Linked DNA regions of Danio rerio. The protein of the gene in region 1 interacts with the protein of each later gene in a pairwise test. Links are inferred from orthologs where the notes say so. Each region holds a gene or a part of one and is shown on either strand. Other genes may lie near its edges. The genes, in order: mab21l3 and aggf1.

The links.
Region 2: the proteins of mab21l3 (region 1) and aggf1 interact in binary tests that used the Homo sapiens proteins (3 or more experiments, as listed by UniProt). The two-hybrid records come from large-scale screens. The link is inferred for Danio rerio from reciprocal best matches to the Homo sapiens genes MAB21L3 and AGGF1.

What each region holds. Positions count from the first base shown.
Region 1 is NC_133184.1:37,577,958-37,582,420, reverse strand, and holds the start of mab21l3 (protein mab-21-like 3), read right to left. Parts: upstream 2,854-4,463; 5' UTR 2,717-2,853; coding exon 2,669-2,716; intron 1,842-2,668; coding exon 1,701-1,841; intron 1,599-1,700; coding exon 1,527-1,598; intron 1,026-1,526; coding exon 734-1,025; intron 1-733.
Region 2 is NC_133196.1:9,136,740-9,141,317, reverse strand, and holds the start of aggf1 (angiogenic factor with G patch and FHA domains 1), read left to right. Parts: upstream 1-1,565; 5' UTR 1,566-1,640; intron 1,641-1,726; 5' UTR 1,727-1,730; coding exon 1,731-1,783; intron 1,784-4,578. UniProt on the Homo sapiens protein: Promotes angiogenesis and the proliferation of endothelial cells. Able to bind to endothelial cells and promote cell proliferation, suggesting that it may act in an autocrine fashion.

The DNA.
Region 1 (4,463 bases):
GTCTGATAATATTTTTTCTTCTGGAGAAAGTCTTATTTGTTTTATTTCGGCTAGAATAAAAGCAGTTATTAATTTTTTTAACACAATTTATGAGACAAGATTATTAGCCCCTTTAAGCAATTTTTTTTTCTCGATAATCTACAGAACAAACCACCGTTATACAATAACTTGCCTAATTCCCCTAACCTGCCTAGTTCACCTTATTACCCTAGTTAAGCCTTTAAATGTCACTTTAAGCTGTATAGAAGGGTCTTAAAAAATATCTAGTAAAATATTATTTACTGTCATCATGGCAAAGATAAAATAAATCAGTTATTAGAAATAAGTTTTTAAAACTATTATGCTTAGAAATGTGCTGAAACAATCTTCTCTCCATTAAACAGAAATTGGGGAAAAAAATAAACAGGGGCGCTAATAATTCAGGGGGGCTAATAATTCTGACTTCAACTGTATATGGTGTATATGGTGTATAAAACAAACAGAAGATTAAATGTTGTGCTACTTATGGAATCTATAATATGAAAAGATATTATAAGAGGATAACAAAACAAAAATAAAAGGTTAATAAATAAATAAATCTGTTATCCAGTTATCAACAGAACATATATCGAGACATCAAATTAAATCAAGCATATTAATATTCTGTTTGTGACTAGAATATCATTAGTGTATAGAGATTTTTCATTATTCACCAGCATTTACACACAGATTAAACAAATATTAAAACTCTAACTTGTCAGTCCGCGGGTCTTTATAGACGTCTCCAGAAGATCTTTGAAGACGTTCACCACCTTGGCTGGCACAATGTCACCTTCGATGGTCATGCGGGCATCGTGCCACTCCTGACTCGGGTTGACAAAACTCTCCAGCTCAAGCCATTGGTGGAGCTTCTCCGGCTCACGAACAGGTGAGAGGAGACGAGAGCCAGTCAGTGTATAATAACGCCACTGACGTGTCCGTCTCTCTTTATAGCCCATCAGGCCCTGCAGAGGCACTGAGATCAGGTACAGGGTTGGAGAGAGGACCTGCACAAGTCACCCAAAAAAAACATCAAACTAATCAGTACATCTATTCTGTTTATCTACTGTATAATATAAGCTTTTCTTACTCTGACTTTTTGTCTTTTGTCTAGTCCAAAAATATTAAAATATAATTTTCTAGACCTGGGGTGCCACTGTAAAAACCTTTAGAATATAGATCTGAATCAAACAGTGCACTCTGGCCTATGTAAATGCTGCAAAAGTACCGCAGCAAAAGTATTTGTAGCTGCATGCATGTTACATAATAACACCAGTTAAAGTTTACAACAGTAAATAGGAAAAGTACAATTTTGACACCATTTACTTGTTTCAAACCTGTATGTCCTTCATTCTTCTGCGGTACATTAAAGAAGATATTTTAAAGAATGTCCAATGATAATGGTGCCAAAATTGGTTCAGCTCCCCATTGACTTACCTAGTAATTTTAATTATAGAATTTAAATGTTGGGGTTGATCTATACCTTTTTAATAAATACTACTGCTTACTTGTATGGCAGGGTTGTATGCACATCTCCCTCTGAGTAATGCAGACCATTTTGACATTAAAGCAGGCTGGTCCTGAATTAGATTGTGGACACAAGAAAAAACATGATGTTATAAATCCAGCATTATAATGCAGTTAGTATTTTTTATATAGATGAGGCCTATGTGAAGCATTACTTTGAGGCTGGCGTTATGAACTCCAGCATTTGCGATGGACTGGAAGCGAGCGTCTTTTGAGCTGACCTCCGTAGTAAGATCTTTGATGATTTTCTGCACATCTTCGACACACTTTGAAACCTGCCGATGTCTGAGATCCACCTGACGATACATTTAACATCAGAAACAGCAGAATAAACCAAAAAAGGAATGTTTTTTTTATTTTTATTGAATCTATCTGAAATACTACACTAAACTCAAATAAAATGAAACTAAATAAAAAGAAATCCTCTAGCTATTTGTTTATTATTTTTATTTTATTAACACAAATTTTAAATAAAAAATAAAGAAAATAAACAAGAAATAAAAACATTACACCACTAAGACAGCATAATAAACAAAATAAAATAAAATAAAACAAGTTATGCAACTACAAATAAAATAAAATAAAAATATTTTATTACCATACAAAAATAAAATAAAACAAGAAATGAGGAATAAAAAGAATAAAGAATTAAACATATTTTCATCTGACTACAAATAAATAATTGAATAAATAAATAAAATAAATTAATTAAATTAATAAATAATAAATAAAAAATAAACAAATAAATAAATGCTATGCAGCCTGTGTTAAGAAAAACTGGATAGTCTAACAACAAATAGATATTTAAGTAAATAACAACAACAAAAAAAACTAACAAACATGTCAATTATGAAGACTATGGTAAGATGTAAAGATTGTGAGTAGTACAGCATATTCGCATATAAAACATTTAAGCTAAAAACAAGACAATAACACATTCGATTAGAGCAGAACAAACACTGAATAAAATAATTTTTAAAAACTCTAAAAATAAGCCATCTAAAATTATTATTGTTTAATTAAAACACCAAATGAAATGGTTATAATAAAAACTAATAACACATTAACAGTTTAGTTTAGATCTCGGTGCTCAATAAAACCAATGACAGCATAAGTAGGTCACCTGATTTAGCAAATAGTTATCCAGATCTTCATCTGTGCAGTTGGTCATGTTGTAGTCTACGCTTACAATAAGCTCTTTTCAGATGCTATTTTAAGTCTTCTTTTCAGCAGCAGAGCTTAATGTTGTGTCTTTGTGGCCTTTTTTGCAATTCTTTTGTGTCCCTGTGTACGTGCAACACAAATCGCACAAGGGAAAAGCACTTCAGCAGAGCCATTGATTTCACAATATTGATTCCCGAGATGCTAAAAAGCTTGTATGTTCCTCTGGGCAAATTAGTTCACCAATTGCTTACTCACATGACCGATCACACTCATTTGAATATAAACATTTGGTTTTAATCCAGCAGACTGCGCCATATGCTGATTATAAACACGCAACTGGATCACAATTGTTGTTGTTAATGTTGTTTATCAACTTACGTGAGTTGGAATTTATTGAATTAAAGTATGCTAAATTTAACAAAAAAAAAAAAGCATTAAAAAGAGGCCATTATAAAGGCTATATAATGTAAAACTACACCAAGCCTCTGGATTCTCATACTTCACATACTAAAATAACATGAACAAAAATATGCATGTATTGTAAACAATATATATCAACAATGAGAGCAACTGTGGGACAAATCAAATATTAAGAAATAATCAAATGCTTAAAAATAATATACAATAACTTGCCGGCTTAATTTTTCAGTTTGGAGCCCTCTGTAGCCTAAGTCAAAAACTCATTGACCACTATACCAATTGTGGATGAATTGGATGACCTTACATGGTTCAATTCAGTACAGATCAGGTGATGATGATATGAAAAAAACCCTGTCACAATCACTTGCACTACAGCCTTTAACATACATTGACTGTCTGTGGTGAAGATAAAGTGAACAAATGTCTAAATAAATAAACAAACTAAATGTTATATAGGTATTGGAAGTGGAACTTACAGCACAGTATAGTCATAATCAATAAAGAAATGTCTGATTGAATGAATGAACTAATTATTAAATAAAGGAAATGTTTTGTCAATAATGGAAAATACGGTAATGTTTTATTGTAGGCAGAGAATTATAAACACTTAATAGAGTTTGAAGGTTGTATAACAAAATAATAAAAAATATATTATTATGGAATTTACTGTGAGACATTAAAGGGGTAGTTCACCCAAAAATGAAAATTACCTCACCCTTTACTCTCCCTCCCCTGTGGTTTTATGAGATTATTTTCTGTTGACCAAGAAGATATTTTGAAGAATGTTGGTTGCTGGCACACGTTGACTCCTATAGTAGGAAAACAAAAATAACTAATGAAGTAACAGAATATCTTATTTTGTGTTTAACAGAAGAAAGAAACCTTTGGTTTGGAACTAGTAAATATGAGTAAATGATGACAAAATTGTAACTTTTGGCTGAGCTATTCCTTAAAGATTGCAGCGTGTGTAACAAGATCAGGCAACAAGGCAACAAAACACACAGTCATTTAACAAACCAATCAATACATATTTTATATGAAATCTAGCCTAGTCAAAATTACGGCTGTTCAGACAGACAGACAGACAGACAGACAGACAGACAGACAGACAGACAGACAGACAGACAGACAGACAGACAGACAGACAGACAGACAGACAGACAGACAGACAGATAGATAGATAGATAGATAGATAGATAGATAGATAGATAGATAGATAGATAGATAGATAGATCTAACCTATAGATGTTATAGCAAGATATTGATAATCATCTGATTACCAAGGCTTTGTGCCAGTTCATCAACAGCATCAATAGCATAGGCTAATAATTATT
Region 2 (4,578 bases), on another chromosome or scaffold:
GGAACTTGCTGTTTCTTGCTTTTAAATGCCTGATGCAGCAAATCATTTATTGGCATAATAATTTGTGCATCGTTAGATGAATCCATATCAAGAGAAATTAGTTTATCAACTTAAATGTATTGACATTTTTCCACCCAGCACGCTTTTTATTCTTTCTTTCTTTTTTGAAAACTTTTTATGTTTTATTAAGTTAATGAAAATAACTTTGAATAAAGGCATCTTGGGATGTAAAAGAAGGACAATTGGAAAGTGGCCTGTAAGTTTTTTAACAGATGGTGAACATTGTTATTATTATTATTATTATTATTATTATTATTATTATTATTTAAAATTATTTTAAAATTATAATCTAAATTTGCAATGCACAACTTGTTTGATGCCATTACATGTGAATTTATTTAGATGCTGTTCTCCAAAGTGACTTCCAATTGGTGGAGTCACATCAACAGAAAAGCAACAATATTTAGATGCTGAGACACGATGCAGATGTATGAGTTTGTGTGTGTGTGTGTGTGTGTGTGTGTGTGTGTGTGTGTGTGTGTGTGTGTGTGTCACAGTCCAAAGGTGCATTGGGAGGGAGAGAGTTCAGCTTCCTGACAGCTGAAAATAATATTAAAACATTTTTTTTTTTAAAGGTCTAAATTATGGGTAACATATATTAGCCATAATATTACAGCATTATTCAAATAGAATTTGGCAATAAAAGCATGACCTAAAAATGAAACTGTTAGGCAAAACTGAATAAAATGTAAACAGTATAATTCAGCAAAGTGCAATCCCATTGAAAATAATGGTCAAATTAACCTTAAATATTGCAGAATGTTGTAAAAACAGGTGGACTCTGGCTTTTCAGATGATGTTAAAGGATTTAATATAAGACAAAATAACCATCAAAATGAGAAAATTAGATAAAAACTATTTATTCCTTATTGTATTAGTATTATATATATATATATATATATATATATATATATATATATATATATATATATATATATATATATATATATATATATATATATATATGTATATATATATGTATATATATATATATATATATATATATATATATATATATATATATAACAGACTATAATCCTGCAAATGATATAATGTTATATAATGTATTATGTGTATTGTATTTAATTATTATGCAATAATTATTTTGTCAGATTTTTTGTTATTTTATTTATTTAATTATTGGCAAAAATCTACACTCTAAAACGTTATTACATTATAAAACATTATTACATTATAGACGTTATCAAATATTACATAGATGGATGGATGGATGGATGGATGGACGGACGGACGGACGGACGGATAGATAGATAGATAGATAGATAGATAGATAGATAGATAGATAGATAGATAGATAGATAGATAGATAGATAGATAGATAGATAGATAGATAGATAGATAGATAGATAGATAGATAGATAGATAGATAGATAGATAGATAGATGACAGGCATGCAGAAATTTAACAACAGTGTATTTGACTGTGTTCTACGCGAGAGGCGCTGTCTCCTCTGTGGTAAAAAGCGGAAGTGACGCAGCTTAAGCGAGATGTGACGCTACAAAGTGAAAGTATGGCGGCATCCATTGAAGCTGGACTAAAGTTCATCGCGGTTGCTCCCTGTAACGCACTTTACGGTCACACAAACTTCTACACGAATATGTGTCGAATTCCCGCTGGTCATTTGCTGTTTATCTTTGATTTGCAGATTGATGCGCGCGCAGGGAAGCCGGGAACGCGCACGGAAAACGGGTGGTTTAAACCGGTGAGGATAGTGTGCTTTAAAACTCAAAGGTTTGCTAATACATAGCATAATATAACTATTTATTAAACTATTCCTATTGTATATTATGTTTAGATGTGTTGTTTAGTTCGTTATAGCTGTTGTTTAGAGGGGTGTGCTTTGTTTTTGTTTGGTTCTGGTGGATTATTTGCATATATGCATATTTAAGGTAAACGTCAAACATTGGTTGAGCTAATTCATTTTTAGGTTTTTGGTGCTTAAATTTTGTTATGTGATTGCTAGAAAACCATTTTATAAAATATAAGTTCTGCCGTAAGTGTGAAATTAATATGTTTTGATGTCTGCATGAAATTAAATTTAAATTACAAGAATTAATAAATTACATAGAGAGCACATTAAATACAAGTGTTAACACACTTATTCTGACCTGTTAAACTCATTTTCTAAAATGTAAGCACAACTGTATGTCTCATATTGATATAAGACATCCTGTTTTTTATGGCTGCATGACATTTAATATAAAATACAAGAATTATTCATAGAATTTAATATTTCTACAGATTTTAGGGAGAATTATAATCATCATTCAGCTTAACCGTAGCTTAAAATGAAAAAAACACACTTATTCTGACCTGTTATTATTGAGACATAAAACAATAAAAGCTATCTAAATGTTGTTTGCACATTGCTGATTCTCTACAAACATACAAATAGTTTAATAAATAAGTTATGTTTATGCCGTACTTCAAGGTCCCCAAACGTCCACAATAGTTTTTAAGGCCCCAAAATGTAATTGTAATTGACTGGATAATAATTAATATATATTATAATACATATTAATTGTATTATATTTTGTATATAATTATTATTTATTCCTATATTATATAAAAAAGTAAAGAAATGCATTATATTTAACTGATATTATATACAATTATATATATATATATATATATATATATATATATAACTGAAAAAATATAATTGCAATTTTGAAATGCGTAAAACATCGTATATAAACCTAAATGTAAATTTAGACTATATAATATAACTAGACAGTAAAGTTCGTCGAGACAAACTTTGAGGCTGGCTTGACAAAGCCTGTTGGTAATAGTTTGTTTAGTTTAAAAACAGTTTGAAAAAGTATAAGTAGCATGTTATTAGCATGATTCTAGCATGCATTAGCATGTTTCTAGCATGGATTAGCATGGATTAGCATGTTATTAGCATGAGTGTAGTACAAATTAGCATTTTATTAGCATGATTCTAGTATAAATTAGCATGTTTGAAAAAGTTTTTTCAAAGTTTGAAAAAGTATAAGTAGCATGTTATTAGCATGATTCTAGCATGCATTAGCATGATTCTAGCATGGATTATTATGTTTTTAGCATGAGTGTAGTATAAATTAGCATTTTATTAGCATGATTCTAGTATAAATTAGCATGTTATTAGCATGCTTCTAGCATGAATTAGCATGTTACTAGCATGATTCTAGAATAAATTAGCATGTCACTAGCATGATTCTAGTATGAATTAGCATACTGCTAGCATGATTCTAGTATGAATTAGCAGGTTATTAGCATGATTTTAGCATGAATTAGCATGATTCTAGTATGAATTAGCATGTTACTAGAATGATTCTAGCATGAATTAGCATGTTACTCGCATGATTCTAGCATGAATTAGCATGTTATTAGCATGATTATAGTATGAATTAGCATGTTACTAGCATGATTCTAGCGTGAATTAGCATGTTATTAGCATGATTCTGACATTCATTAGCATGTTACTAGCATGATTCTAGTATGAATTAGCATGTTATTAGCATGATTCTAGTATGAATTAGCATGTTACTAGCATGATTCTAGTATGAATTAGCATGTCACATAGCATGCTTAGGTGGTTGCTAGGGTATTCTGAGTGGTTGCTAAGTCGTTGCTAGGCAGTTGCTAGGGTGTCCTGAGTGGTTGCTAGGTGGTTGCTAAGATGTTGCTAGGCGGTTGCTAGGCTGTTGCTAGGTGGTTGCTATGGTGTTCTGAGTGGTTGCTAGGTGGTTGCTAAGGCATTGCTAGGCGGTTAATAGGGTGTTCTGAGTGGTTGATAAGATGTTGCTAGGTGGTTGCTAGGGTGTTCTGAGTGGTTGCTAAGGTGTTGCTAGGCGGTTGCTAGGGTGTTCTAAGTGGTTGCTAGGTTGTTGCTAAGGTGTTGCTTGGTGGTTGCTAGGGTGTTCTGAGTGGTTGCTAGGTGGTTGCTAAGGTGTTGCTAGGTGGTTGCTAAGGAGTCCTAAGTGGTTGCTAAGCGGTTGCTAAGGTGTTGCTAGGTGGTTGCTAGGGTATTCTGAGTGGTTGCTAAGGCGTTGCTAGGCGGTTGCTATGGTGTCCTGAGTGGTTGCTAGGTGGTTGCTAAGGTGTTGCTAGGTGGTTGCTAGGGTGTCCTGAGTGGTTGCTTGGTGGTTGCTAAGGCGTTGCTAGGCGGTTGCTAGGGTGTTCTGACTGGTTGCTAGGTGGTTGCTAAGGTGTTGCTAGGCGGTTGCTAAGGTGTCCCAAGTGGTTGCTTGGTGGTTGCTAAGGTGTTGCTAGGTGGTTGCTAAGGTATTCTGAGTGGTTGCTAAGGCGTTGCTAGGCGGTTGCTAGGGTGTCCTGAGTGGTCACTAGGCCCTTATTAAGGCATTACTAGGCCGTTGCTAGGTGGTTGCTAGGCGATTGCTAGGGTAATTTGGATGGTTGCTAGGCAGTTGCTAGGGTACCCTGGTTGGTTACTAGGCAAGCCTCACATACATGCCTGATAAAACATTTATACTTAGTAAGCATTTCTAGCAA